Linked DNA regions of Stegostoma tigrinum. The protein of the gene in region 1 interacts with the protein of each later gene in a pairwise test. Links are inferred from orthologs where the notes say so. Each region holds a gene or a part of one and is shown in the gene's direction. Other genes may lie near its edges. The genes, in order: bbln, thap11 and atp6v1d.

Region 1 (10,588 bases):
CTTATTTTGGTTGGCACATGCAACAAAGCTTCATCGTTTCAGTATTTGTTTGTGAGATTTCATAATACATAGCCAAATTAAAGTCAGCTTATGGCAGTTTACAGGCACCAAGAGGAAGAACATTAACATCTTCGAGGGGGCTTCCAATGTGAACAAGTTTGAAATCCACTATTATACATGAAACTGAAAATTATATCATAGCGCCAACAACAGCATATATGTAACATTTTAAAAATGTGAATTTTCTTCCAACTTCATTTGTCAACATAAACGGTTCCCTAGCATTTAATACAAAGAAGTTGATGGAAAAGCTCAGCAGGGTCTGGAGAGAAATCGGAGTTCATGTTTCGGGGTCCAGTGACCTTTCCTCAGAACCGGACCAGAGTCAGTCACCTCTGATTTCTCTGCACAGATGCTGCCAGAGCTGCTGAGCTTCTCCAACAACTTCCGTTTTAGTTTCTGATTTACAGCTTCCCCAGTTCTTTCGGTTTTGACTCGCATTTAGGCAGGGACGTGTTGCACTTCTGGCCAAAACTGCATTTAAAGCAAATTAATAAAATCCAACTGGTTACAAAGCATGCTACAAGAGAACCCATTGTGTTTAATTAATGCTATACAACAAAAAAAATCGACGCTCATTTTCCCTCCAAACCCCTCCCCAAATAATGTAAGGATTCAGTCTAACTGGTGAGCAGTACAGACTTTTCTATCTGGCTGTAAGTTACTAGCAGCCCCTGAAGTACTCTTTTTGTGCTATAAACTCGCATTTACCTTCGGGTATTGCTGCTGAGCACGGTGCAGCTCTTGCTTCAGGCAGTGCCTGACCGTGTGGTACAATCCCAAGGTCCCACCCAGCACAAATGCAACACTCAGGGCAGTTTTACCAACTTTCAGACCTCCTGGTAACTTCTGCAAACCTCTGCCTTGCCCGTAGAACCTGCTGCCAGGCTGTAGTGCGAGGGCTTGTCCATTGCAAGCCACAAGCCGAGCACAAACTCTCCTCACTCTGATATAGGAAGCTGCCATGTCGACCTTACACAACCAGATTTCCTCCAGATCTTCTTAAAGGTGTACTCCGCTGAATTACTATAGACCGACCCACACACTCCACCTTTCATATACAGCCTTCCGATTTTCACCTAAGGACGTAGTTGTTCATCTTCTACATTATTATTCGAAGCAAATAATAAATTAATGATTCACTTAATTTTGGTTATACGACATAAATTATTGGCTCACTATTAAATCCCTTTTCAGGTCTAAATGTGTAGAGCTGGATGAACACAACAGGCCAAGCAGCATCTCAGGAGCAGGAAGGCTGACATTTTGGGTCAGGGCCCTTCTTCAGAAATCTTTTTTTCTGAAAAGATTCATTGGGTTCAGCTTTCCAGCTCCTAAGATGCTGCTTGGCCTGCTGTGTTCATCCAGCTTCACACCTTGTTATCTCAGATTCTCCAGCATCTGCAGTTCCCACTACCTCAGATCTAAATGTGTTTTCCAAACAACCCAATCTAACATGTGCGTCTTCTAATCTTCTAGTATCATCACCTTGGAAATACTACCTTCTTCTGAGGGACACAATGAATAAAGGCCAAAACAGGCAAATAAAAGAAAACTTGATGAATTAAGTCAAAACTTTATTAGAATGTGCCATCTTACAATAAAAGTCAAATACAACCAGCTTAGTGAACATGCAAAATGGGAAAACTGGGAAGTCATATGGCCTGCTCTGCCACTTGATTGGATCCTCTACCTCAATTCTACTGCCGACTCTATCCCCAAATCCCTTGATGACCAGGCAGCAATGATCCTCAAACATTTTTCAGGTCAAAAGGCATTTTGTTTAAATGACATATTAGTTCTAGATCATTATCTACAAGATATTACTATTTTTAAAAATTCATTCTTTGTGATGTGGACATCACTGGCTAGACCAAGTATTAAATGGCTGTTTCCAGTTGCCTTCTTGAGCCGCTGCAATCCTTCTGCTGTAGGTAGACCCTTAATGCCCTTAGGGAGGGAATTCTAGGATTTTGACCCAGTGACTGTGAAGGAACGGCAATATATTTCCAAGCTAGGATGGTGAGCAGCAAGTTCTTAAGGAAGGTCCCTGGACTTGAAACATTAACTCTGCTTTCTGTCCACAGATACTGTCAGACCTGCTGACTTTCTTAGAAACTTCTGCTTTTGTTTCAAGTTCTGAATCCTGATTACTAACTTAGATCTTTAAATCTTAGCACATGTGATGGGGCTTAACAGTGTCAGCAACTTTGAGAGAAAGGTGGCCAGTATTTTCTTTGGCAATTGAGGTTAAGAAATTGATATATAATAAAGCATATACACCCAGATCAGGCCATTATGGCCCACACATGACAGAGAGTTATGTAATCAAGCACCACACCACAGAGATTTGAATTCAAAATCCAAACCAAAAATTGAGTCTGTCTCCATAGCCCTGCATTTCTCATGGCTAACCCACCTCGGCTGTACGTCCCTGGTCACTATGGGCCAAAATAGCATGGCCATCCACCTAAACAGCGCATCTTTGGACATCTCCACCCTGACCACACCGCTTTCAAAACTTCCTTTTGCTTCCAGAAGTGCAGTCCAGACTAACGTGTGAGGGAGAGAAGACTCGGCTACAGCATAGTTTAAGAGGCATCCGGACAAACACATAAACAAGGCAAGGATATGGACCATGTGCAGGCAGATGGGATTAGTTTTGAGAGGCATCATGGTATTTGAGGCATCGTGGGCCAAAGGGCATGTTTCTGTGCTACAAGGCGTAGAGCTGGATGAACACAGCAGGCCAAGCAGCATCAGAGGAGCAGGAAGGCTGACGTTTCGGGCTGAGACCCTTCTTCAGAAAACTGTTCTATATTCTATGACCCTTGGGTTCAAGACTCGCTCTTGTAGATTTTTATTTTCTCATCAATCTGTTCAGCAGAGTTATATACCTATAGGGGACTTCAACTTTCCAAATACTGACTGGGAACACTACAGTTCGAGTACTATAGATGGGTCAGTTTTTGTCCAGTGTGTGCAGGAGGGCTTCCTGACAGTATGTAGATAGGCCAACAAGGGGCAAAGCCACATTAGATTTGGTACTGGGTAATGAGCCTGGCCAGGTGTTAGATTTGGAAGTAGGTGAGCACTTTGGTGATAGCGATCACAATTCTGTTATGTTTACTTTAGTGATGGAAAGGGATAGGTGTATACCACTAGGCAAGAGTTATAGCTGGGGGAAAGGCAATTACGATGAGATTAGGCAAGATTTAGGGAGCATAGGATGGGGAAGGAAACTGCAGGGGATGGGCACATTAGAAATGTGGAGCTTATTCAAGGAAAAGCTCCTGTGTGTCCTAGATAAGTATGTACCTGTCAGCAGGGAGGAAGCTGTAGAGCGCGGGAGCCGTGGTTTATGAAGGAGGTGGAATCTCTGGTCAAGAGGAAGAAGGCGGCTTATGTTAGGATGAGATGTGAAGGCTCAGTTAGGGCGCTTGAGGGCTACGAGGTAGCCAGGAAAGACCTAAAGAGAGAGCTCAGAAGAGCCAGGAGGAGACATGAGAAGTTGTTGGTGGATAGGATCAGGGTAAACCCTAAGGCTTTCTATAGGTATTTAAGGAATAAAAAAATGACGAAAGTAAGATTAGGCCCAATCAAGGATAGTAGTGGTAAGTTGTGTGTGGAGTCAGAGGAGATAGGGGAAGCACTAAATGAATATTTTTCAATAGTCTTCACTCTAGAAAATGACAATGTTGTCGAGGGAAATACTGAGATACAGGCTACTAGACTAGGTGGGATTGAGGTTCACAAGGAAGAGGTATTAGAAATCCTACAGAGGGTGAAGATAGATAAGTCCCCTGGGCCGGGTGAGATTTATCCTAGGATCCTCTGGGAAGCCAGGGAGGAGATTGCCAAGCCTTTGGCGTTGATCTTTAACTCATCATTGTCTGCAGGAATAGTGCCAGACGATTGGAGGAAAGCAAATGTGGTTCCCCTGTTCAAGAAGGGGAGTAGAGACAACCCTGGTAATTATAGACCAGTGAGCCTTACCTCAGTTGTTGGTAAAGTGTTGGAAAAGGTTATAAGGGATAGGATTTATAATCATCTAGAAAATAATAAATTGATTAGGGATAGTCAGCACGGTTTTGTGAAGGGAAGGTCGTGCCTCACAAACCTTATTGAGTTCTTTGAGAAGGTGACCAAACAGGTAGATGAGAGTAAACCGGTTGATGTGGTGTATATGGATTTCAGCAAGGCGTTCGATAAGGTTCCCCACAGTAGGCTATTGTACAAAATGCGGAGGAATGGAATTGTGGGAGATATAGCAATTTGGATCAGAAATTGGCTTGCTGAAAGAAGACAGAGGGTGGTAGTTGATGAGAAATGTCCATCCTGGAGACCAGTTATTAGTGGTGTCCCGCAAGGTTCGGTGTTGGGTCCACTGCTGTTTGTCATTTTTATAAATGACCTGGATGAGGGCGTAGAAGGATGGGTTAGTAAATTTGCAGACGACACTAAGATCGGTGAAGTTGTCGATAGTGACGAAGGATGTTGTAGGTTGCAGAGAGACATAGATAAGCTGCAGAGCTGGGCTGAGAGGTGGCAAATGGAGTTTAATGCAGACAAGTTTGAGGTGATGCACTTTGGTAGGAGTAACCGGAAGGCAAAGTACTGGGCTAATGGTAAGATTCTTAGCAGTGTAGATGAGCAGAGAGATCTCAGTGTCTGTGTACACAGATCATTGAAAGTTGCCACCCAGGTTGACAGGGCTGTTAAGAAGGCGTACAGTGTTTTAGCTTTTATTAATAGAGGGATCGAGTTCCGGAACCAAGAGGTTATGGTGAAGCTGTACAAAACTCTGGTGCGGCCGCACTTGAAGTATTGCGTACAGTTCTGGTCACCACATTATAAGAAGGATGTGGAAGCTTTGGAAAGGGTGCAGAGGAGATTTACTTGGATGTTGCCTGGTATGGAGGGAAGGTCTTATGAGGAAAGGCTGAGGGACTTGAGGCTGTTTCATTAGAGAGAAGAAGGTTGAGAGGTGACTTAATTGAAACATATAAAATAATCAGAGGGTTAGATAGGGTGGATAGGGAGAGCCTTTTTCCTAGGATGGTGATGGCGAGCACGAGGGGGCTTAGCTTTAAATTGAGGGGTGAAAGATATAGGACAGACGTCAGAGGTAGTTTCTTTACTCAGAGAGTAGTAAGGGAATGGAACGCTTTGCCTGCAACGGTAGTAGATTCGCCAACTTTGGGTACATTTAAGTCGTCATTGGATGAGCATATGGATGTACATGGAATAGTGTAGGTTAGATGGGCTTCAGATCGGTATGACAGGTCAGCACAACATCGAGGGCTGAAGGGCCTGTACTGTGCTGTAATGTTCTAAAATTCTGAGTAAAGTACTGTGAGAGTGCATTGGAGGCACAATACTGTCTTTGAGGTGGGATTTTAAACCAAGGCACAATCAGATAGCCATAAAAGATTCCACGCCACTATTTTGATGAACAATGAAGAAGTTGCATCAGTGATTATGGATGATAGTATAAGGTAAGGTTGGAGGTTAGATAGACCTTAGGTTTAGGGTAAAACTTTGGCACAACCTCGTGGGCCAGAGGGCCTGTGCTGAGCTGTACTGTTCTATGATTAGTTATTAAATAGATGCGTGTTTGAAGACGCTGTGGAAAACACTGAAGTCATGAAAGATACAATATAAATGCAAGAACAAAAACAAAGTTGCTGGAAAAGCTCAGCATCTGTGGAGGAGAAAACAGAGTTAACGTTTCGGGTCCGGTGACCCTTCCTCAGTCACTGGACCCAAAACGTTAACTCTTGTTTTCTCCTCCACAGATGCTGAGCTTTTCCAGCAACTTTGTTTTCGTTACTGATTTACAACATCCGCAGTTCTTTTGGTTTCTATTATTGCAAATGCAGGGACATTTTATATCATCACAAAAATTGAGGCAATTCTAATTCGTTACCTACTGTTTCAGTTTACTCCGTTTTCATGTTTTGCTTTCTGCAAATCAATTTATAATGTTATGATTTACCCCTTTAACTGTGTATAAATCTGTCCACAGATTGCCCAAACGAGCCCTATAATGGAAGGCTTCTTCTGTGCCTGTCATCATTTTATTTTAAAGAAAAAGGATTCAAGTTATACTTAGAATTGAAAACAAAAATTGTCGTGTTTTATCGGGGGTGGGTGTTATAATGGGGAGAGGTGGAGAAGATTGATTAAAGGCATTTCCGGGACACGTGTTATTGGGGCCTTGAACAGCTGAGAGTTTGTTACATGTTAAGGTCAGGGGTGAACGGGGCAAAGTTCGGGATCGCGGCGTCTGTTCCTTGATTCCGGTCTCAGCTTCAGCAACATGTCGGGGCCGAACGGGGAGCCGAGTGTCACTGTGGGGCAGCAGCAGCAGCAGGAGGAGGAGGATGAAGCGTCTGAGGAAGGTAAACCCCAGGACAGGGATCCGACCGGACCCCCACGCAAATAAATCGCATTCACTAGATCCAGCTCCCTGCCTATCTCCCGATTCGGACTCAACCCCATCCCCCTCAAAACCCTTTAATAGGACACTCCCCCCCCCCGCCTCCAACTGGACACCTTCACGAAGGCCCTGAGACGGGCTTGGGGGTGACCTTATACCAATATATAAAGTCATGAGGGGCCTGGATAGGATGAATTGTCAAGCTCCCAAGGCTATGGGAGTCCAAAACTAAAGAGCGTAGGTTTAAGCTGAGAGGAGAAATATTTAGAAGGGACCAAAGGGGCGACTTTTCAAGCAGAGGGTGGAGCGTGTGTGGAATGAGCTGCCAGAGGAAGTGGTGGAGGCTGGTACAATTACAACATTTAACAGGCATCTGGTTGGGTATATGAATGGGAAGGATTTGGGCCCAATGGGATGAGATTTATCTAGGATATCTGTCGGTATGGACAAGTTGGACTGAAAAGTCTTTTGTTTGCTGTACGTCTCTGTCACTTTCAGCATTCAGCCTTCACTTTGCTTATTCCCCCGAGGGTGTGCTGTATTTGTTGGTGAAACCTTTCAGATGAAAATGTTATCTGACTGAAATCCAGTCAATGATGAAGAGTAGAACAATACTAATCCCTGATATCCTGGTGAATGTTTACTCTCCATTAACATTAAGTTGTTGTGTGATGTTCCCCAACCCCGCACTCCCACCTCATTGTTCCCCAACCCCGCACTCCCACCTCATTGTTCCCCAACCCCGCACTCCCACCTCATTGTTCCCCAACCCCGCACTCCCACCTCATTGTTCCCCAACCCCGCACTCCCACCTCATTGTTCCCCAACCCCGCACTCCCACCTCATTGTTCCCCAACCCCGCACTCCCACCTCATTGTTCCCCAACCCCGCACTCCCACCTCATTGTTCCCCAACCCCGCACTCCCACCTCATTGTTCCCCAACCCCGCACGGCCCGTTTCTATCTCCTTCCCAAAATCCACAAACCTGCCTGCCCTGGTCGACCCATCGTCTCAGCCTGCTCCTGCCCCACCGAACTCATCTCCACCTATCTGGACTCCATTTTCTCCCCTTTGGTCCAGGAACTCCCCACCTACGTCCGTGACACCACCCACGTCCACCTCCTCCAGGACTTCCAATTCCCTGGCCCCCAACACCTCATAGTCACCATGGACGTCCAGTCCCTGTACACCTGCATACCGCATGGAGATGGCCTCAAGGCCCTCCGCTTCTTCCTGTCCCGCAGGCCCGACCAGTCCCCCTCCACCGACACTCTCATCCGCCTAGCTGAACTCGTCCTCACACTCAACAACTTCTGTTTTGACTCCTCCCACTTCCTACAGACTAAGAGGGTGGCCATGGGCACCCGCATGGGCCCCAGCTATGCCTGCCTCTTTGTAGGTTACATGGAACAGTCCCTCTTCCGCACCTACACAGGCCCCAAACCCCACCTCTTCCTCCGGTACACTGATGACTGTATCGGCGCCGCCTCTTGCTCCCCAGAGGAGCTCGAACAGTTCATCCACTTCACCAACACCTTCCACCCCAACCTTCAGTTCACCTGGGCCATCTCCAGCACATCCCTCACCTTCCTGGACCTCTCAGTCTCCATCTCAGGCAACTAGCTTGTAACTGATGTCCATTTCAAGCCCACCGACTCCCACAGCTACCTAGAATACACCTCCTCCCACCCACCCTCCTGCAAAAATTCCATCCCCTATTCCCAATGCCTCCGCCGCATCTGCTCCCACGATAAGACATTCCACTCCTGCACATCCCAGATGTCCAAGTTCTTTAAGGACCGCAACTTCCCCCCCAAAGTGATCGAGAACGCCCTTGACCGCGTCTCCCGTATTTCCCACAACACATCCCTCACACCCCGCCCCCGCCACAACCGCCCTAAGAGGATCCCCCTCGTTCTCACACACCACCCTACCAACCTCCGGATACAACGCATCATCCTCCGACACTTCCGCCATTTACAATCCGACCCCACCACCCAAGACGTTTTTCCATCCCCACCCCTGTCTGCTTTCCGGAGAGACCACTCTCTCCGTAACTCCCTTGTTCGCTCCACACTGCCCTCCAACCCCACCACGCCCGGCACCTTCCCTGCAACCGCAGGAAATGCTACACTTGCCCCCACACCTCCTCCCTCACCCCCATCCCAGGCCCCAAGATGACATTCCACATTAAGCAGAGGTTCACCTGCACATCTGCCAATGTGGTATACTGCATCCACTGTACCCGGTGCGGCTTCCTCTACATTGGGGAAACCAAGCGGAGGCTTGGGGACAGCTTTGCAGAACACCTCCGCTTGGTTCGCAACAAACAACTGCACCTCCAGTCGCAAACCATTTCCACTCCCCCCTCCCATTCTCTAGATGACATGCCCATCATGGGCCTCCTGCAGTGCCACAATGATGCCACCCGAAGGTTGCAGGAACAGCAACTCATATTCTGCCTGGGAACCCTGCAGCCATATGGTATCAATGTGGACTTCACCAGTTTCAAAATCTCCCCTTCCCCTACTGCATCCCTAAACCAGCCCAGTTCGTCCCCTCCCCCCACTGCACCACACAACCAGCCCAGCTCTTCTCTTCTCTTCCCCCCGCCCCCCCCGCATCCCAAAACCAGCCCAACCTGTCTCTGCCTCCCTAACTGGTTCTTCCTCTCACCCATCCCTTCCTCCCACCCCAAGCCGCACCCCCATCTACCTACTAACCTCATCCCACCTCCTTGACCTGTCCGTCTTCCCTGGACTGACCTATCCCCTCTCTACCTCCCCACCTATACTCTCTCCACCTATCTTCTTTACTCTCCATCTTCGGTCCGCCTCCCCCTCTCTCCCTATTTATTCCAGTTCCCTCCCCCCATCCCCCTCTCTGATGAAGGGTCTAGGCCCGAAACGTCAGCTTTTGTGCTCCTGAGATGCTGCTTGGCCTGCTGTGTTCATCCAGCCTCACATTTTATTATCTTATATTCAAATTGTGTGGTGTTTCTTGCATTTAAACAGTGACCACACCTGAAAACTACTTGTTTAAAGTGCCATAGGATGTCCAAAGATTGTGAATGTAAGTTGTTGTGTTGTCATTGATACTAGCAGTCTTTAGTGCATTGCTTCCCAGATTTCTCCCCCCCTGAGTGACAGCAGAGTGGGTTACTGCTGTGGATTTGAGAGAGCACGAGCCTGTTGAAGCTGGAGCAAAGCTGCTATAATTTAGTCAGAGTTCTGCAATGATCATTGCTGCTTGTAAGCCATTTGGAGTCCCAACCCCCTCTTTGAGAAGTCCTGCATCAGGCTAATATAGATATCTTTTAGTTTCTAGCGAATATCTTTGCTAGATCAAGTAGCTCTAAGCCCAACTGTCTTAATACCTTGGGAGATGAAAAATATACAAATAAAAATCTTATGTGGAGAAAGGCAGAGCATAAATGTGTGTTCCTTTTTGTTTTGTAACTAGTTCTATTGACTGTGATATGTTGTATCCTTCACCTCACTTCCACCCTCTTTTGGCAGAATACGCTGCACTCAATTTGATGCTTGACCAGATCAACTCTTGCTTGGACAACCTTGAGGAGAAAAATGATGTTTTAAATGCAAAACTTCGAGAATTGCTGGAGTCAAATCGCCAGGTGAGGATGGAATTCAGGCAACAAGTCCAGGCACCAACCCCAAAAGATTCCCAGGACTACAACTCTCAACTTTGATCACTGTCTCTGTATCAAGCTGTAATATTACATGTCCTGCTTAAGCATTTTAAAAGCAAATGTTAATTAGCTGTAACCATTGCTAGTCTCTTTACTTTCCTGTGACCGAAGCACTGTAGTTTTAATCAGTGAGTTGCAGTTCTACCTGTGATAACTTTATTTACTTTTGACCACTTCCTATTGGTTTTGGCTTTGAAATTCCTGTTCCTTTTAGGAGGAAGCTCGTTTGTAACAGATGTCATGTTGTGTATCTTCCACTTGCGAGTTGCAATAAGAAATTCTATTTCAGTGGGATTCAAAGATCTAAAAAAGGTGAATGTTTGACCTGATGGGATACCTGAAGTTCATCTGGTTAGTCCTACTGATTTGGAGAAGG
Region 2 (10,117 bases), on another chromosome or scaffold:
TATTGGGCCACTCCCTCACCTATTTCACACTACTTTAATTAATTTCCCAAAACTGCAGGATCTAGGATTGCTGGCTTTTGTTGGACATATTCCAGGAGGGATCAAGAGCTCTCACCTCGCAATGGTCCACTCAGTAAAACAATCCTTTCCTCCAATTCGTTACCTTTTTAATTAATAAATTAAAATGTTTAAAGAAAATGTGAAAATAATTCTTGCATCTGTGACATTTTCTTGCATGTTCCTTGAGCCAGTCTTGAGGAGATTAATCTTTATTTCCTGGAAACCTCAGGACAATGATGAAGGATTGACAACCCAATTTTAAAAATTATACTTTTATAAGGATTGAGATTGTTAAAAATGACCAATATGCTTTAATGTGGGTTTGACCAAATTCATTAAATTATACCTGCAACTCAATAAACTTCTTTCATTTTCTTTTAATAGGGCAACGCGGCAGCTCAGTGATTAGCACTGCTTCCTCTTAGTGCCAGACACCTGGGTTTGATACCATCCTCTGGCGACCATCTGTGTGGAGTTGGCAAGTTCTCCCTGGTGTCTGTATGGGTTTCCTCCAGGTGCTCTGGTTTTCTCCTAGAGTTGAAAGATGTGCAGGTTAGGTGGATCTGTCATGCTAAATTGCCTATAGTGTCCAGGGGTGTGTAGGTTAGGCGGACTAGCCATAAGAAATGCAAGGTTACAGGGATAAGTTAGGGAATTGGTCTGGTGGAATGCTCTTCAGTGTAGATTTGATGGGCCAAATGGTCTGCTTCCATGCTGTAGGGATTCTGTGATTCTAGGCATCCACACCTGGCAGAAGTACTGCTTCATCATTCAGGACATCAACCCAGAAGCTGGAACGACTTAATGAAGGTTATTTTCCAGGATGCACAATGGTATACCATATTCCAAGTGCAAAACATCATGTCAAGATGGATACCTCAGTGCCAGTTGATTGTCTTTTGTTGTTGCTGGGAAAATTAAAGTTCAGAAGTGTCATGATTTCAATTTATGTCCAATGCCTTTATCAACATGTTACATCAAGTCTTCTACATTGCCTTTGACTATATATAGAATGGAACAAACTAAGAGATGATGTAGTATGATGTGTGCGTACATCTGACCTTATACTCCCGGAAACCTAACTTACAGAATTCAGGGAACTTGAATGTACAACCTAGGATAATGAGTGAATAAAAACAGAATTGCTGAAGAAACTCAAAGAGTTAGCAGTACCACTGTGGAGAGAGATGGGGTTAACATTTCAAATCTGAAACCCTTCTACAGAACCTGAAAATGGAGTGCTGCATTCTGGAAGCTGCTGCATTCAGATGGGATATTATTCTGAGAACTCAACAATATGCACAGTGCTCTGTCCAATTTTTAACTTAGATTAATTGTGACTTATCCAGGCTGATAACACAATAGGAGTTGAGGCACAAGAGAGTTGGTGAAATGGTACATTTAGGATTGCTGGAATTATTTTATCTAGCGAGTTTTGAGAAGATTTGTAGCTCAGGTTGAGGTACTGGTGACGAAACGTCTGAAAACGAACCTTCCAGCTCAGCAAGCAAACCTACATCCAGATTATTTCATCTGTGTGGTAGAAGTTCAATGTTAAAGCCATTGGGCTGTCGGGTCCTGAGGCAGAATATGTGTTGCTCCTCTAGTTTGTGTGTGGTATCATTGTGACACCGGAGGTGGCCCAGGATGGACATGTCACCCAGGATTGGGAGGTGGAGTTAAAAGGCAGATAGGGGTAAGGAGGGAAAAAAACTCTTTGGTCGTGGGGTTGGATTGTAGGTGGCGGAAGTGGTGGAGAATGATATGTTGGATGCAGAGGTTGGTGCGGTGGTATTTGAAGACTAGGAGGACTTGTCTTTATTTTTGTTTGGGGGGGAAAGAGGGTTTTACGGCAGCAGTGTGGGAAATGCAAGAGATGTGGTTGAGGGCATTTTTAATCACAGGGAGGGGGGTGTGGTGTTGCAGTCCTGAGGACATCTGGGATGTCCAAGAGTGGAACGCTCCATCCTGGCAACAGATAAGGCGGAGGTGGAGGAATTAGGTGTAAGGGATCACATTCTTATATGGGGGGCATGGGTGAGAGGAGACCCCTATCTGCGTTTTGTAGAGACCGCTCACCCGCGACTCCCTCATCCCCTCCACACACTCTCCACTACACCAGCACCTTTTCCTGCAATCACATGAAGTGCTACACCTGCCCTACACCTCCTCTCTCATCTCCATCCAAGGCCGAAAGTGAGCTTTCCATATCAGACAGGAGTTCACTAGTACATCCTCCAGCCTGGTCTACTGTATTTGTTGCTCCTGCTCCACATCGGAGAGACCAAGCACAGACTTTCATGGAGCATCTGCGCTCTCTATATGTGATTATGGACAACACTTTCCAGTTGCTAACCATTTTCACTCCCCCTTCCACTCCCTTGATGACATATTCATCCTGGGCCTCTTCCAGTGCCACAATGACACCACACGCAAACTGGAGGAACAAAAGCTCATATTCCACCTCGGGAGCCTACAGCCCGACGGCCTGAACACAGACTTTACCAAGTTTAAAATCTCCCCAGCCCTGACCTCATCCCATGTCCAAACCTCCCTCTCATCCCGACCTCCATGTCCTGACACAACTGGCCCATCTTCTTTCCCACCCTTCCCACTGATCAATCCCAACTCCCCCACTTGCAACTACCTACCACCATCCCACCTATCATTCCCCAGCCCCATCCTTCCTCCCTCTATTTATTTCCCAGCTCCCTTCTCCCTCCCCAGTTCTGAAGAAGGGTCCCGAACTGAAATGTTGACTTTCCTACTCGTCTGATGCTGCCTTACCTGCTATGTTCCTCCAGCTCAACTGTGTTGACTCTGACTCCAGCATCAGCAGCTCTTGCTATCTCTGATCTTACAGTAACCCGAGCTTTATTTGATAGAGGCATGGAATACAACAGCAGGGGCAATTTGCTGAAATTATACAAGATACTTGTTCAACCCCTGATGAAGTAATTTTGCAGTTCTAGGTACCTACCTGTAGGAAGGGTGTGAATGCACATGAAGAAGAATGCAGAACATCATTACAAAAATGGTTCCAGGGAAGAGAAACTTCAGTTATGAGTACAGCTCGGAGAATTTGGGACTGTTGTCCTTGGAGGGAAGTAGGCCAAGCGGAGATCTAACTGAAGCTTTCAAAACCGCAAGTGTATGGATACAATAATTAGGAAGAAACTGTTTCCATTTGTAAAGGATCAAGAATGACAGGGCACAGAGTTAAAGTGATTTGCAAATGGGAAGTGAGGAAAAGACTTTTACTCAATGAGTGGAATGCACTGCATCAAAGTATATTAGAGCAGGTATAAGAAAAGCATTCAAGAGACAATTAGCTGATTATTTGAATAGAAACAATGTGAAGTGTATGGAAAAAAGTGAGAGAATGGCACAATGTCATAATGCTCATTTGAAAAGCAGGCATAGGCATAATGAGGAAAATCACTTCCTTCTGTGCTGCAGAATATCCGTGATAGGAAGATTAGACGAATGCACATACCCCCAACCTTGGAGGCGTATAAATGAAGCCAAGTATTGAGATTTTGCAGTTCCCTCATTTTAACCTTTTGTTTCCATCTTGTTGCAATGAGACAAAATTTGGCGATAAAAACAAAGGGCCCATTATGTCTGTTGGCATCTCAGTTAAAATAATTCCATTACAAAATGACTTATTTAAATCTCAAGGCAAATTTTAAATATTCAGTATCAATAATTGTAAAAACTGATTCTCCAGAATTAATTTTTGTGTAAATTAAAAATATTAAAACAATTACTGGTTCTGGTTTTAGCTTGAACAATACTGTCTGACAATGTGGAGCTAATGTTAAGCCGACTAAGCAACGACGTGCAAAATATTGTGATCAAATTGTGAATCCATGGGATGCTAGCCTGCTGGCAGTCCTGAATGGTTATCATGATCACAGTAAATAAATATTTCCACTTCTTTGACAGACTAGTATTAAATATATAGTATATACATAATTTGTCCTCAGAATAGGAGCAATGTTACATTTTTCACCTAGTCATAGTTGCCCTCAAAGCAACAAATGTATGGATCCAGACAGAACATGAGTGTTATTAGAATTCTTACAATAATGCAGCATTTTCATGATTATTTCATTTGGTGCCAGCCTATAAATTGTCACACTACCTATACTTAAATTCCAATGAGTTACAGTGAGATTTGAAATCAATGTGATATGCACTGTTAAAAAGTTCCATGCATACTCAGAATAGATTGTTTAAAATTATACTGCGGGATACTTGTCCTTCTACTAATAAAATAATTTTCAAACCCAAGGGCTCTGCACATCCTGTAAACAGCAGGTGGATGAACATACAGCCTCATGTTTATTCATCTTCTTTGTTATTTGTAAGAGACGGGAGTGTTTTCTTATAAAATAAAGAAGTTTTTTATCAGATGATGGCATACTTAAAAATTTAATTTTTTTTCAATTATGTTAATTTCAGGATGCACAATTATCTTCAACAACTATGCATTAACTTCATCTTCCATTGGCAAATCTACCATTTGAAGTTGGTGAGCTCAGTCGTTTGGATAACTGGTTTATCATGCATAGTGTTACCAACCACGTCAGTTTAATTCCTGCGTCAGCTTAGATCATGTGAAGGTTCCACCTTCCTGAACTGACCCTTTGACTGAGGCATGGTGACCCTCAGGTTAAACGCACCAATAGTTGTCTCTCTCTCTCTCTAATGAGAGTCTGGGACTGTGGCCACTTCACCTGATTTGTGATTTCAAATAAACCTATCGTGTGACTTCTGACTTTGTTCATCCAGTCCAACACCGGCTCACCCACATCATAGTCACTTTCACTGATATCACTTCTACTGTTGGCAGAAATTGACTTTTGTAACTTTATTGGCGGTGGATGAGTTCAACCACAATTTTCAAAATTTCAATCGGAAAAAAGCTTTGAGATAACACCTTAAATGTGATAAACATCATCAGTAAAACTAATTAAAAACCAAAAGAACTGTGGATGCTGTAAATCAGGAACAAACACAAAGTTGCTGGAAAAGCTCAGCAGGTTGGTAGCATCTGTGGAGGAAAAACACAAGAGTTAACTTTTCGGGTCCAGTGATTCTTTCAAAATGATCCAATTCTGAGGAAGGGTAATCGGAACCTAAACATTAACTCAACTTTTTCCTTAACAGATGCTGCCAGACCTGCTGAGCTTTTCCAGCAATTTTGTTTTTGTATCAGTAAAATTAATTTATTGATCAATTTTCAAACAGGATTGTCATGTACCTCCTGTGAACAAAATAGATAAAATATACGGTCTGGTTTACATCATTTATAAATGCAGTTTTTAGCTATTTCTGTGAACTTTGGTAGCAAGCTCTCGCTTATTTTCGTATAATAAAATGCTATTGCTTTGGGTGCAGAGTGACAGTAACACAAAAATGCGATGGTACGATGCAAAATATATAATAAAATGGAAACACTAAGTGGAATTTGTGAGTGTTGATTGCTGTAATAATAACTATATACAAATCAGCAGAAACGTGCGAAGATGTTTCAACGATGCATTCATTATTTTTGAAAGTTAATGCTCCTTTTTCGCAGCAGTTTCTTTGTTTGACCGGAAGTGGCTGTGTGTGTCGCGCTGCACCCTGGGAGATGTAGTTCCGCCGCGCGGCCTGCGCTTTGCAGCCAACTCGGTGTTTGGGGGGAAAATAAATAAACCCGGGGGGATTTGAGTGGGGAAGAGGGGGCATTGTGTGAACAGGAGAGTCCGGGGAGCCAGGCCTGCGATTAAAGAGGCCTCTCGGGCAGCGCTGGCCCTGGGGATCGTAGCGGCAGGATGCCCGGCTTCACCTGCTGCGTGCCCGGCTGCTACAACAACTCGCACCGGGACCGGGAGCTCCGCTTCTACACTTTCCCCAAGGATGAGGAGCAGCGCCGACTCTGGCTTCAGAACATCTCCCGCACCGGAGTGTCGGGCTGCTTCAGCACCTTCTACCCTACCACCGGACACCGGGTGTGCAGCGCCCACTTCCCCGGGGGCAGGAAGACCTACTCAGTCAAGGTCCCGACCATCTTCCCGCTCCGAGGGGTCAACGAGAGGAAGATCAGGCGCTCCCGCAAGAAGCTGCCGGCAGCCGCCGCCGGCCAGGAGGACGTCAAGCCCATCGACCTGTCCGGACCTTACTTCTTCTCGTCCTCGTCCTCCTCGTCCTCGCCTTCCCTCCCGGCCGCCGCCGCCGCTGTCCCTCGCCCCGAGGCTCCCGAGTGCCTAGATCACTCCTACTCACTCTCCTCCACCACCACCTCCGAGGAGCTGCTCAGGAAACTCAACGAGCAGAAGGACATTATCGCCCTGATGGAGGTGAAGATCAAGGAGATGAAAGGCACCATCCGGCAACTGAAGGTCAGCGAGGCCATCCTGCGGGAGGAGCTGAGGAATAAGGAGAAATTACTGTCCATGTCGGTCATCAGGAAGAAACATGGAATGTGACTGCCTGTTTTATAAATAATATATATATTATATATATTACACAAACATTTCGCAGCTACCGAACCCGAGGAAGAATAGAATTTAACAAAAAAAGACAAATACGAGGATCATGTGCCGTCATGGCACAGGATGTTAGGACTTTTCGTGTGATATTTCAGATGTGATAAAATAGTGTGAGACCACTTGCTTAATCTGTGTGTGTGTGTGTGCGCGCATCCCAAACGATATGCACCCCTAGTTACCGGGTGTTTCATACGACAGGTCAAATCCGAGGGACATTCTGCATGGATGCAGTACTAAAATTAACTTTAGGAAGTAGTGAAGCAACAAGGCACCACAAAAGGTCCAAATTCCACTCGAGCAACAGTGCATTCACAATCCAATGTATTCTGTGTTACGAATCAATGTTTTTGTTCCATTATAATGATGCTATAAATTTAGTAGTTCCCTATTATTTTGTATATTGCCCTCTACATTAAGTTACTGTACAACAATAACCATAAAAAGTATAATAAATCCTCTCATGGTTACACTTTGTAAATTGATTTAAAAGATTTTTACTTTTTTAGTGTTTTTAATACAATTGTGAGACTTTAAACACAAACAAACAAAGAGATAGAACAATACTTAAATACTCTCAAACAGTTATATTGGTTAGGCTGGTGTTGGCATTCTCTTCCTCAACCTCTCCAACTGACCTTCCTCATCTAAATCCCTCCTTTAAACATAGGTCTAAAAAACCTTTCAGTCACCCCTTCTAATACTTCCTTCTTTTGCTCTGTATCCATTTTTTACGTCACCTCTATAAAGCACTATAACTATAAAGTGAAAACTTTTCAGTCATTTACTGTTTGAAAAACACAATTCTAAATGAAATTTCACAGAAATACATTCCAAAAGTTAAACAGAATGCTGAATAAGTAATTTATCATGTAATCACTACAGAAAGTTCTTCACAATAATGTACTAAGTTTATTCAAACAGGTCAAATAATGCCAACGTTGCTTTCATCTCTCATACTGAAATAAACAACAATTTCATAAACCTACAAATAATTAAAATGGTTATCAGTTGTTGGCTAGATCTTAAATGATTCCCAAATATTACAACAGTACACTACTTAATCTGCATAGTGAACACCTTGCACCTTGAAGAATTACTGTAAAATTGCAAATAATTATTTCAATAACCTGACGCTATAAATAGCATTAACAGATATCTGCTGATGAACACAAATCATTACCCTTAATGAGAATTTGGATAACAAGATTGAAACAAAGTTCAAATAATTTTATCTTCCTGCCCCGGTAACTACATCAGACACAAAATATTGCTGGAGAGAAGGATTTTTTAAGTTATAATTTTCAAAGTTGCAGTGGTTTTCAGTAGAAATATTTACATCTTTGAATGCAAATTTTGGAAAGCACTGAAACATTCAGATGAAGGGTCTAGGCCCGAAACGTCAGCTTTTGTGCTCCTGAGATGCTGCTTGGCCTGCTGTGTTCATCCAGCCTCACATTTTATTATCTTGGAATTCTCCAGCATCTGCAGTTCCCATTATCTCTGAAACATTCAGAAAGTCAGTTCCAGAGAGGTTCTATTCATCAATGGCTAATTTTATTGTTCTCTTTCATCCTGTTGGCCAACTCATTTGGACTCATGGACTAGCTCATTTGTGATAGTGTTATTATTATTCAGAAAAAATGGCATCTATCTGACATATCAGAATCTGCTTTTTCTCTTTTCAAATGCAATCTTGAGCTACTGTGTATTCTGAGCATCTTCTGTTTTTATTTTAATGACTTAAAATACTGACTCCAGTGGCGGTAATTGTTAAGTGAGGAGTCTCACTTTGAAGGATTAATGATTGTGACATCATTACTGCAGCATTAGTCTGAAATAATCTGTAGCTGATTACCTGGATGTTTCATGGTGTGCCAAATGCCATGAGTATAACCATCACAATCAACTTTATTAACTTTTGACCTATATTGTTCTGCCTCTTAATTCTCAATGTATTCATCATTGGTTGTAAAATGCTTTGGGATGTCCAGAGCACTTTAAGGTGCTATGTAAATAAAAGTCATTTTTCTACCATGCCAGCAACAGTGATAAATTGAATATATATCATTTAAAATAAACAGTTGCTGCCAGTGAGTTCAATTTAAACTGACAGTGTCTCTAAAGCTAACTAATCACTTGCTGTAATTAAGTCCTGTTCAAATAAAACAAAGTCTCTATTTCACTGTTACCCCTCTTTGATTCTGGTTATAATACACAGTTTTTACAGCTCTCATTCTGTTTAGAGTTTACATTTTGATAACAACTAACATTCATTAAGTTCTGATAACATTCACAAAAGGATAAGAATACCAAATGATAGAGACACAAAGTCCATCAGCATGGAAACACTCCGTTTCCCCCAAACTGGTCCATGCCAACCAACATGTCTGTCCACGCTAACCCCATTTCCTGCACTTGGCCCATATCCTTCTACACCTTTTCTATCCATGTATTCATCCAAATGCCTTTTAAATGTTGTGAACATATCCGCCTCAACCACTTATGCTGGCAGCTCGTTCCACATGCACATCATCCTCTGTGTTAAAAAGTTGCCCCTCAGGTTCCCATATATTCTTTCCCTTTTACCTTAAACTGATGCCCTCCAGTCCTCAATTTCCCAATCCTGGGAAAAAGACTGAGAGTGTGTTCACCCTATCCATGTATCTCACAATCTTATACATTTCTATAAGATCATCCCTCAATCTCCTACACGCTAAATAAAAAAGTCGTCCCTTGTCCAACCTCTCCCTATAATTCAGTTCCTTCAGTACTGGCAGCATCCTTGTAAATTTATATATACATTTAAATAAATGATGATGACTAAGAGAAGAAACATATTTCTGTACTGGGAGCAGAACAACCTAGTAATTAACTACAAGTTAATTCTTCATAAGCATGCAGCAGCATTGTCACAAATATTGAGCTTTCACTGTCAAACATCACGTATCAACAGTATGAAACATGGTAATTATAAAGATTTCTCACCAATATGTGAAGTATAATATTAACATGGTGAATATGCAGGTTGGGATAAGATTTTTTTTAAGGTCCCCTTCTCCACTTGATGTGGTCACAATGACGAGGTAGCCTTTGGGTTAACTTTCACTATTCATTTCTGTAATAATAAAGACTCACTGAAGTAAAGTGGCCCACAGTTTGACAAAGCCAATACACACACTGAAATAATAAATTTTGAATCTTATTCAGGGTTTGAGTGACCAATTTAAAAGACTAAACCTTTCGGTGTCTTAATTTTGTAACTATTGTATTACTGTAATCACCTTTATTTTAATATAATCACGATTGATTATAAGGGTTACTTCAACATACAAACAAGGAACAAGAGTAGGCAATCAGTAGTAGTCTGCTCTGCCATTTAATGAGATTGTGGCTAATCTAATTTTAACCTCAAATGCACATTCCTGCAAACTCCTGACAATTATCACTGCTGAGGTTGTTGGCTTGTTGCTAACATCAACATGTTACCCAACATGGTGCCAAAACATCTGTACAAT
Region 3 (10,490 bases), on another chromosome or scaffold:
AGCAAACAAGTTGAAACAGGACCACAGACCATTATGGAAGTGAAAGCTGCCAGCCTTGTGTTAGGGACCAAGTGAATGGGTGGAAGTTTATCTTAGAGTTGAACATGTCGTCCAGTTTATTACAAGTCCTCTCTACCATTAAGTGGAGAGATCGAGTCAGTAGTTAGGGAAATGGACTTTTCAGAATGGGCTGATAAGAATGACTCAGATTCACCACATAGATAAATAAGACAAACTATCACAAGTTGCAATTCACACAGGACATTTGTACATTAATCAAAAAATGAAAATACTCCATTCAATTTTGATTTGGGAATTTATCAAGGATGGCCAGATCATATTTCAAATGTTAATTTGCTTTGTGGTCCAAACATGTTCCTAAGTAAATATGGGAACAGGCACAAGCAGCTGATATTATGTAAAATAACTGATTTATTTAGACCTCTCTCATCACAGCCTAACAAGCAATTTATTTTGAAGTAGGCACAAAAGACCAATGTACACAGAAACATGCTTGCTAGAATTGCCAGGAGATAAACATGATCTATAAGAACATTCCTGCTCTTCTCCCAAAACTATTGGAGCCGAAATATCTACAAGAGAGCAGCTGGGGCCATCATTTAAAGATTGATCCAAATTGCAATGAAACACTGCACCAGGACTCTAGACTTTGACCTCAAGCTCCCCAGTGGGTTTTGAACCCTCACCAGATGCCTCAGAAGAAAAAGCACAACCAGTGTGTCAGAGACTAGTAAACAAAAAGAATGAACTACTGCTGACGTCCCAGTTATCATCTTGATGGTGAGCCATTCCTGAATCTAAAAACATGACAAGATAGTTTGCACAACATGCATACCTTTCTCTTTGTCGACTCGGATTACAACAACACATTCATTTCTACCAATTCGAATCAGTTTGTTGATAGATCGGATACGCCTTCTTGAAAGTTCACTTAGAAGAATCATGCCTTCAATGTTGTTATATTCTAGAAGGCTGACATAGGCACCCATCTCCGCAATGGAGCGGACATTTACCATCACCACATCTTCTACCTCTGGAAACTTGTGTTGGTAAAACCGACAACTAAGAGCTGGCATTCTGAAATATGCAGAAGAAATCAAATTACACTTTGGTATTTCACACCAGAAAGAGCAGACAATGTATTATCGCTAGACTGCGTAAAAATGTGCAGAACCAACAGAATTGTAAAAGAATAATCGAGGAGAGGATAAAACAATAAGAGATCTTAAAAACCCACCACGCAATTTCAGTTTAACTGTACATATAGCTCATTTCAGCCTGGTAACTTCAAGTGAACAAAAAAAGGGAGACCAACACCCAACAATATTAAAAAAATTTCTTTAATTCAGAAGATCATTGCAGAATGCTTTAGATTCCAGAGAATGTGCTTTTTGAAATGTTGAAGTAATGTATAAAAGCATAAAACAAAATTTTCTTTTAGTTAATCCAGTTACTTCAGGAAGTTTGAGATAACAAGGTATACAGCTAGATGAACACTGCAGACCAAGCAGCATCAGACGAGCAGGAAGGCTGACGTTTCGGGTCTAGACCCTTGTTTACAACTCTGCTGAATACTTCTGGATGGTGTTCAGAATTACTTCATATTAAGGAATGGCACAGAATATATGTTTAAAATATGCTGGCATCCCACTTCCATGAAGTGGGATGAGTTCAATCAGTAGGAAGTTGAGCTAAACAAACCAGAAAGAAACCAATCATTGGCTGATCAAAGCATAAAAGCACATCATGTCCTACAATTTGTATAGGTAGAAGCTGGTTTTTTTTGAACATGCACCATCTCTGGTGGATGCAGAATACAGGATTTAGAGGCCTAGTTGAAAAATTAGATCATAAAAACTTAGGAGTGAAATCTGGAAACATTTCCAAACACAAAGTGGCAGAAATTGAGAAAATTTGGAAATTGGTGCGCAATCAAATATGCATGTTAAAATGGGAACTGACAGACTTTTGTTCATCAAAAGTGTTAAGGGAGGTGAGGCAAAGGCAGGAAATAGATCACAGATCAACCATGATCTCAATGACTGGTGAAAAATGATCAAGAAGCCTCTTCCTGGTTGTATCAACATATATGGATCAGACAGAGCAATGTGCTGTCTGCTCAGTGCAAAATAATGGGATTTGTACGATGAAACGTGTAGTTCATATAAATATTAAATTCTGGGACTTTGATTTCAAAACAGAAACAGGGTCAGTTCTGTGAACATAATCATTTTAAAAAGGGCAAAAAACTCATTTGGATTAGCAGCTAGATAAATGAATTAAGGCAACGTGTGACTTTAATCAAGTGCCTGACAGAATCCCTGTGATGTTAATAGATGAAACATTTATACTGTTGTGTTTACAACTAACCAGAAAGCCATCAGTTTTAGTTTTTGAGTTCAGTTCAAAACAGAAAACAATTTCTCTAAAGGTGGAGAATCAAGCTTTTCGTTCAAGGAAACAATCACTATAGCTGAAGAATTTAGTGTGTGGTGCTTCCAATTGAGAAGAGCTTGGATAGAAATTTCCAAGTTGATAGAACAGAAAAAGTTTAGGTTATCACAACTGGGAGCAATTCATGTCAGTAAAACTATAAAACTTCCCCTATGATCTGAGGGAAAGAATTTAGGAGGAGTTAGTTAAATAACAACTTAAGATTTGAGATAACAGTGAAATTTCAGCTGATTCTATCGATATAGTACTGAAGCTTGAATATTGTACATTGCACTGACTAGTGTTTTTACGTGAAATTTCTTTGTTAATGGTGAGGGAAAGAGTTAGAGAGAATTTGGAACCACAGGAATTTACCTATGAAGGTGTGTTTTCATGACCTAGCTTACTGCTAGAATAATTGAAAATCATCCCATTAGTTACACTTATCCTCAAAATCTCATCTCTTCTAATACTTTTCCCTTCCATTAAAAGATGCACTGGCTTCTGCTTTCACTGCTCTGTGTCAGAGCAGGGCAAGTTCCTGCAAGTTTATCCTAACTTGCCGAACTCATTTCAATTGATGTCCTCCTACAACTGACCCAGATTTTAAAACAGCTGTTGGCCAAATTGCCTCGCAACCCTTCATAATTTTAACCTCTTAGTCTTCTCTTGCTCAGTGGAAATGTTTCTGAACTCTCAAGCCTAAATTCTCAAAAAGATGAACACCAAATCATGAGGTCACAGAATGAAACAGAGCAGAAGAGACTGTTCAACCCATCGAGCCTGAACCAATACTGGCGGTTAGCCCACAGTCTTGAACGTTCTGACATGCCAAGTACTGAACCATGTACTTGTTATAGCATGGAGGCAATTTGTCTCTACCACCTTCCAAAGAGGCACATTCCAGACTGTCACCACCCTATGGATAAAAGATTTTTTCCACATATCTCTCAAACCTTCTGCCCTCACCACTGACCCTCCAACTAAGGGGAACAGTGGTTCCTTATCCACTATATCCATGCCCTTCATAATCCTGTACACGTCAATGAGATCGCCCTTTAGTCTTCTCTGCTCCAATGAAAACCCAAGCCTATCCAACCTTTCCTCATAATTCAAGCTTTCTGGCCCACAAGGCCAGTGCAAGATGCCAAAACAAAACTACACTTGTAATACAACAGATCAAGCCCTGGTGCTTCCATGGGAGCAAAAAGGCAGAGTATTCTGACAGCAAAGTTTCAGATGTAAAAGATGCCACTAGAAGCTGGATTTCCACTGGGCCCACAGTTTCAATTTTACTCCCATGAGGCAGAGTCTCACCTTGATTAAACAAGGCTGCAGACTGCCATTCCCAACACAGAAGAAGCCAAGGGACAACTTGCTGATAGGACCATGCATATGAATTGAATTCCATTAATTCCCCAGGATATAAAGAAACAAGACTGGACACCCTGGTGGAAGGCACTGTCCCTACTTCAGAGCCAGGAGGCCCAGCTTCAATCCTTCAGATGTGTGTCATAATGTATCTGAGCAGCTTGATTAAAATAAAGTACCACAATGGGACTCTTAGGAGGTACCTACCTCTAAGTCAAGGTGTGGGCCTAGGTTCTATGTGTGGAATGACATCTCTGAACAGATTGATTAGAAGATATCAACAGTACTAATAAAGTTTGATATTGACACTTTGTAGGAAGTTTCCAATCTGCCATTGGAGACTTGCACATGTAATTATTCCAACACCAAACAAGAAATTACAATGGAGCCATGAATCAACACCTAAGAACATATTTTGAGGCAGGCTTCAGATGTCTCAATAAACTTCAATCAGAAATCAACAGCAGCCTCCAGCCAACACTAATTGCATATATCAGTTCAAACTGACAATTAATCTGACCATTTTTGTGACACAACTGATACTTCATGGTACAATTTTCATTTCAATGCTATTTTCAATAATGATCATCTGTACTTTATTTCATGTAAATAGCTTCAGGACAAGGATTCAGATTTGGACAAGGCTAATAAAAAAAAATATCTATCTACAAAGAAATTAGAAAACTGAAAAGCAGTCAGCAATAATGCAGTCATACCTCATTTGAATACTTCATCCTACTCGTGACATAATGAAGATCTCTTTAAAACTTTAATTCCAAATACCTAGTCTGACAGAAGTATGAACTTCAAGCCAAACCTAGTTCAATTCCTAAATCAGCAAAGATAGAAAAGAAATTCCTTGATCACGAAGTGAATATTAAGGCCTTTCATCCCTTGGGATTTCACTTTAAGAATGATGCAATCAAAGTACCTTCCATCTGTGAACTTCAAGAATCCTCAGTTTAATCACAGTGGCTGTAATTATTTTCTAATCAACCTGTTCGTGGAATACCTCTGGAACAGATGGGACTTCAACCTGGATCTGCTGGGTCAGAAGTGGGGACATCACCACCCTGGAAGCTGCCACATTCCAGGTGGTAGCTTTAAAGTGGAGTGAAAAATGGCACGAGTGATAGAAAGAGGCCGCACAAAAAAAACACACAGAGAGAGAGAGAGAGAGAGAGAGAGAGGCCCGGATGGGCCCGCAGGTGAAGCCCGAGTTGAGGAGCCGACATGACCATAAAACATGCTGGCATTGGGCCGGAATCTAGATCCGCCTTAACCAGCGAATCAGTGGCGTGGGGGGTGGACTGCGGCTCCCGATATGAGGACAGCACTGGGACTCACTTACTTGAGCAGAATCTGTAGGCAGCGCTGCTGCGAACGAGGACGGTCAGCACCTCAGGCCCACACTCCGACTCGCGCTATTTCCGTTGTTCCCACAATTACTTTTCTACGCAGGCGCGACGCCGTTTTCCGTAACTGTTACGGCGCACGCTTTATTCTGCGCAGGCGCGGCAATGTTTATCCTCACGTTGCACCGCAGAATCTGAGATAACAAGGTGTACAGCTGGCTGAAGAAAACAGGCCAAGCAGCATCAGAGGTGCAGGAAAGCTAACGTTTCTGCAGCTCCTACTATCTCTGCACCGCAGAATCTCTCGTGCGCAGCGCAAGTACGTCCCTTCGCCAGAAACCCCGCTTCTGCGCAAGCGCGGAGCTGCGACCTGAAGCCGAGAGGAGGGCGGAGTGAAACGTCACTCCAAGTAACCTTGGAAGTCGCGATCGATATCGCGGAGCGGCCTTGATTTGTAGCATTCATTCATTAGACGCGACTCACACACATTGTGCTTTTGCACGATAGCTTTGTTAGGTTTTCGCTCTCTAGTATTGACGGAGGACTGGAAATGAAGGGGCAGCCGGGTGTAACGACGTGTCGCCGCCATCTTGGTAAAGGATCGTAGATAGTTAATAACAGCGAGATAAAACGGTGAGATATGGAATTGGCGAAGCAAACAGCAACACTAAGAGATACTTCATTTAAAAAAATTAAAATCCCCATCTAGAATATTTGGACGACGGTTAACCCGGTGGTGAGGGAGGTCACAGGTCACCTCCGCCCTGTCACGTGATGTTGCCAGCTGCTGATCCGTGGAAACCAACAATTTGCTCGAGTCGACCGAAGAAAGTTAGTAGAAAATTATAGGAGGAAGTAGCCCCACTAGGGCTTAGCCTTACAACCTGCTGAAGGTCACGGGACACTCCTTGTCGATTGCAAAGATTTTCATCTTTTCCACCAGCTATTGGATCTTCCCCCCCCCCCCCCCCCCCACCTCAAGAAATAGCCAAACATGTCAGGCAAGGAGAGGATTGAGATCTTCCCATCGCGAATGTGAGTGTCAGATTTTTGATTACGGTTTTTAGCCATCTCAAGTTTGACTTTTGCTTTAGTGCTCCGACCTGGAAATTTTAAAGTTTAGCATTTTAAATTTTGGCTCAGGTGAAGGGCTGTTGGAATGAAACTGCGTTTAAAAGTGCTGGCCCATTTCTTCCTGAATCATCGAACTATTTCCAAATAAAGGAACTTTTACAGTCGAAACTAAATAAAAATTGAGAGTGTCAGTCGGAGATTATAACACAGACAGATAATTAATGCAACGGTGCCCAATTTGCATGACAGATTCCAAAATTTCGCAATCCATTATTGGATCAAAATTGGCATTGCAATTAGAAATCTCTTACAAAAAATGCATGAATCACTACATATTGCTGAATTTTTAGGAACGTGTTGAATACAATAACATGGAAAGACAAACTAAACATTTGTTTGTTTAGCTGCATTGTGAAGATTTTTGAAATACATGTCACCCTCAATGGCTACAATGTTCAAGCTGATTGACTTTTGATTTTTGAAAAAGGTAGACAATAAGGGATGGGTGTCCTCTAAACAATTTTTATTAGACATACTATATAATACACCAATACTTGTGAGATTATGAAATGGTAATAATTCAAACATGGTAGAAATAATTATGAGCTCTTCTGCAGCTGTGGAATACTTTATTGATAATTAATGTTGCCAGAATTTGGAATTCACCCACAGCACATTGTTTCCAACTTTTACATTCTGTCTGATTTGGAAAAGTTGGTATTGTTACGTTGGCCATCTTCACAGCCCCCTTTACCAAAATTATTTAACTGCCATACATGGGAATAATTTCTCAGATGCATTGTTGTAAAAGTATAGCATATAGTAATTGTCTATACTGATAAGTGGCCATCCACATGCTGTGGTAGCACACCTACAGAGGAGGTGAATTCAAACCGTACTGCAGGATCTGAAATGTAACTGATCTAGTGTTTCAGCAGAATAATAAAGGGGTGCTGCATTGTTGGAAGTACTGTTTCTTGAATGGAATAACAGTTCAGGCTTGTCTGCGAGTTCACAAATGCGGGTAGTTCTGGCTAGTGTCCTGTAATAATCACTAAAAGCAGATGAGGTAGTCTTTTGATAATGGGAACTGCAGATGCTGGAGAATCCAAGATAACAGTGTGGAGCTGGATGAACACAGCAGGCCAAGCAGCATCTCAGGAGCACAAAAGCTGACATTTCGGGCCTAGACCCTTCGTCAGAGAGCCCGAAACATCAGTTTTTGTGCTCCTGAGATGTTACTTGGTCTGCTGTGTTCATCCAGCTCTACACTTTGTTATCTGAGGTAGTCTTTTAATTTCCTATCCATAAGTAAATTATAGAATCACTGATTCCATAGTGTCTGTACCAGTTCCTGAAAGATCTAGTCAGCTAGTCCTGTTCTCCAGCCCTATCTCCAAAACCCTAAAAGTTCCTGTCTTCCAAATATATATCCATCTGTCTTTTGAAACCTATGGAATCTGTCTCCACTGCACTCCCAGAGAGAGCATTCCAAATCCTAACAACTGAATAAAGAAGTTTCTCCTCATCTCACTCCTAGCTGCCTTGCTGACAATCTTGAAATTGTGACTGAGCCATTGACATACTAATTAGCAGAAATTTTGAACGCCTCAATAACGTCATATCTTAATCCTCTCTGTTCAAGGAGAATACGCGCAATTTATCTAATCTTGCCTTGTGTCTAGATACTCTAATTCCTGTTATCAATCTGGTAATATAAGATAACATGGTGTAGAGCTGGATGAACACAGCAGGCCAAGCAGCAGCAAAGGAGCAGGACAACTGACGTTTTGGGTCTCGAACTGAAATGCCAGCTTTCCTGCTCCTCTGATGCTGCCTGGCCTGCTGTGTTCATCCAGCTCTACACCATGTTATCTCAGATTATCCACTATCGGCATTTCCTACTATCTCTGCAGTCATTTTAGTAAACCTGCTTTGCAGTGTCCCCAGGGCTTTAGCATCCTTTCTTAAATAAAGTGCCCAGAATTGAACACACTACTCCAATAGGAACAGGAATAGGCCATTCAATAAGACCATTGCCTAACTCTATATGTCTGCATTGGGCCCATATCCCTTGACAATGTCCAATTTAAATTGACAGTTGAATTAGCATTGACTGCCATGTGAAGAAGAGAGTTCCAAAGCCTTCTACTGTGTGCAGAAGTGTTTTCTAGCGTCTCTCTCTTGAATGGCCTGGTCCTATTTCTTAGACTATGCACACTGATTTGAGAATGTTCCACTATTGGAAATAGGGTTATCCTGTTTTTCCCTGTTAATGTTCCAAAAACCCCATCTTGATCACCCCTGAACTTTCTAGGTTCTAGAGAATAAAGGTCTAATTTGTCCAACCCCTTCTCGTAACTGAACCCCTGAAATCCAGGTATCATCCATATAAATCTGTGTTGAACTACCTCCAGCACCAAGACAATGTTCCTAGGGTGGGGTGCCCAAGTCGGCTCTCAGATCTCTAAGTGGGGTCTGAGGTTTTGTATGACGGTAGCATAACACTTGCACCCTTATACTCCAGCCCTTTGGATATGAGGGCCAGCATTCTGTCAGTCTTCTTGACTATTTTCTGCACCTGCTCATAGCATGTGAAAGAGCTTTGACAATAAGTCCAAGCTGCTTTGATACTGTCATGAGAATGTGAAAGGGGCCATATTTAACATCTAACTCCTTTTACTTGATGTCCTCAGTGACCTTTTTTAATAGAAAAAAAGAACATTTTGGAATAAATATTTTGTATAAACAGTTGTGTGTACATTGACACCAGGAACTGGTTTGGGGGAGTTTAATACGTGATAGAATCAGGTAGCTGAACAAATTTCCATAGCCAAATTTTCACTAAGTCTGGACAACTCCGTTATATTTGTTGCAAAACTCTACCTCATGGATTCAATTTAAAAATGGTGCTGTTGGAACACAGGTTTTGAAAATTGAAAAAGGTTTTTGACCTGAAATATTTGGTTTGGAGGGAATAAATCCTTTTGTTCTACATGTTGTTAATCTGTCATATTAAATATTGTTGTGCTCGTATTGCATTTGTAAGATATCCAATTGAATGATTGATGTCAAGTATGTTTGTGTCGTGAACTGGCCCAAGTTAAATATTTCCCTTAACTGTTATTGAACTATTGTCCAGGTTTGGCTCAGACTTGGAATTATTCATCCATTCTTAAAATAAAATTGAAGTCCATCTGCTTGGTCATTGTTATAAAACACCTTTTTGAGGCAGGTGAGACTTAAACCTGGGTTTTCTAACTCGGAGGTAGGAACATTACACTATACTACCAGACCGCTCCATCTATTTATTTAGCAAGCTAAAGCCATTCATTGTTCCTCTTTTTAGAAGCATAAATGCTTCCTACGTGCACTGAAGCAAACAGGCTCTTCCCATCTTTATAAAGAGAAACATGAATGACCTTTTCTTAACACATCAAAATGAAAACTGGGAGCAAAAATGTCACGTCTTTCTGTCAGTGGAAGGGTTCCTGCTCATGCAAAGAAATGAGTGGGCAGAAGAAGTAAACCTAACCTTTTTTTGCATTTGCCACAGGGCACAAACTATAATGAAGGCCCGTTTGAAAGGTGCTCAGACTGGTCGCAACCTACTGAAGAAAAAGTCTGATGCCCTTACACTTCGCTTCAGACAAATCCTGAAGAAGATTATAGAGGTGAAATTTATTTTCAAGGAACAATTATAATAAATTTAACTAAACCTTACTATTTGGTTTTTCTCCTAAGCTCACAACACACATTTAGCAATGTTATTGCAGTTTTTAACACAGCAGTCCTGCTCATTCATTGTCAGTTCTATTTGATTTCTACTTGTGTTCATTTAACCACACTTTATTTATGTGCACGATATCTTGGCTATGTTTTGTGCTGTCAACCAGGGAAACAGAATCATCTTGTTTAGTGAAGTAGGATGTCACGAGAAATGCAATAGATGATTACAGTCTTGACCCCCAGCTCAATGTATTTTGCTGTTGTACAGGGTGTGAGCATTGTTACCAAGGCTGACATTTGTTGTATATTGTTAATTGCCTTTGAACCCTTGATCTGTGTGCCCATCTAGGTCATCTTCAGTTAAGAGTTAATCACAAAGTTATGTACCAAAGAGACAGTGTAGGCCAGTCATGGTAAGGATGGCAGATTTCCTTCTTAAAGGCTGTTAGTGAATATGGGTTTTTACAAACATTGTCTATTTTGACACAGTTCCCATTAAGCTAGCAT

The links.
Region 2: the proteins of bbln (region 1) and thap11 interact in a two-hybrid assay, tested with the Homo sapiens proteins (2 studies listed by BioGRID and IntAct). The link is inferred for Stegostoma tigrinum from reciprocal best matches to the Homo sapiens genes BBLN and THAP11.
Region 3: the proteins of bbln (region 1) and atp6v1d interact in binary tests that used the Homo sapiens proteins (3 or more experiments, as listed by UniProt). The two-hybrid records come from large-scale screens. The link is inferred for Stegostoma tigrinum from reciprocal best matches to the Homo sapiens genes BBLN and ATP6V1D.

What each region holds. Positions count from the first base shown.
Region 1 is NC_081382.1:41,781,795-41,792,382, reverse strand, and holds the start of bbln (UPF0184 protein C9orf16 homolog), read left to right. Parts: upstream 1-6,291; 5' UTR 6,292-6,382; coding exon 6,383-6,464; intron 6,465-10,021; coding exon 10,022-10,212; 3' UTR 10,213-10,588. Other genes in the region: ptgesl (prostaglandin E synthase 2), read right to left, coding at 772-1,026. UniProt on the Homo sapiens protein: Essential for intermediate filament organization in intestinal cells, interacts with intermediate filament and regulates intestinal lumen morphology.
Region 2 is NC_081369.1:18,232,166-18,242,282, reverse strand, and holds thap11 (THAP domain-containing protein 11), read left to right. Parts: upstream 1-5,706; 5' UTR 5,707-5,885; coding exon 5,886-6,539; 3' UTR 6,540-8,636; downstream 8,637-10,117. UniProt on the Homo sapiens protein: Transcription factor, which has both transcriptional activation and repression activities. Also modulates chromatin accessibility.
Region 3 is NC_081363.1:69,339,036-69,349,525, forward strand, and holds the start of atp6v1d (V-type proton ATPase subunit D), read left to right. Parts: upstream 1-5,615; 5' UTR 5,616-6,174; coding exon 6,175-6,215; intron 6,216-9,810; coding exon 9,811-9,928; intron 9,929-10,490. Other genes in the region: eukaryotic translation initiation factor 2 subunit 1, read right to left, coding at 857-1,097. UniProt on the Homo sapiens protein: Subunit of the V1 complex of vacuolar(H+)-ATPase (V-ATPase), a multisubunit enzyme composed of a peripheral complex (V1) that hydrolyzes ATP and a membrane integral complex (V0) that translocates protons.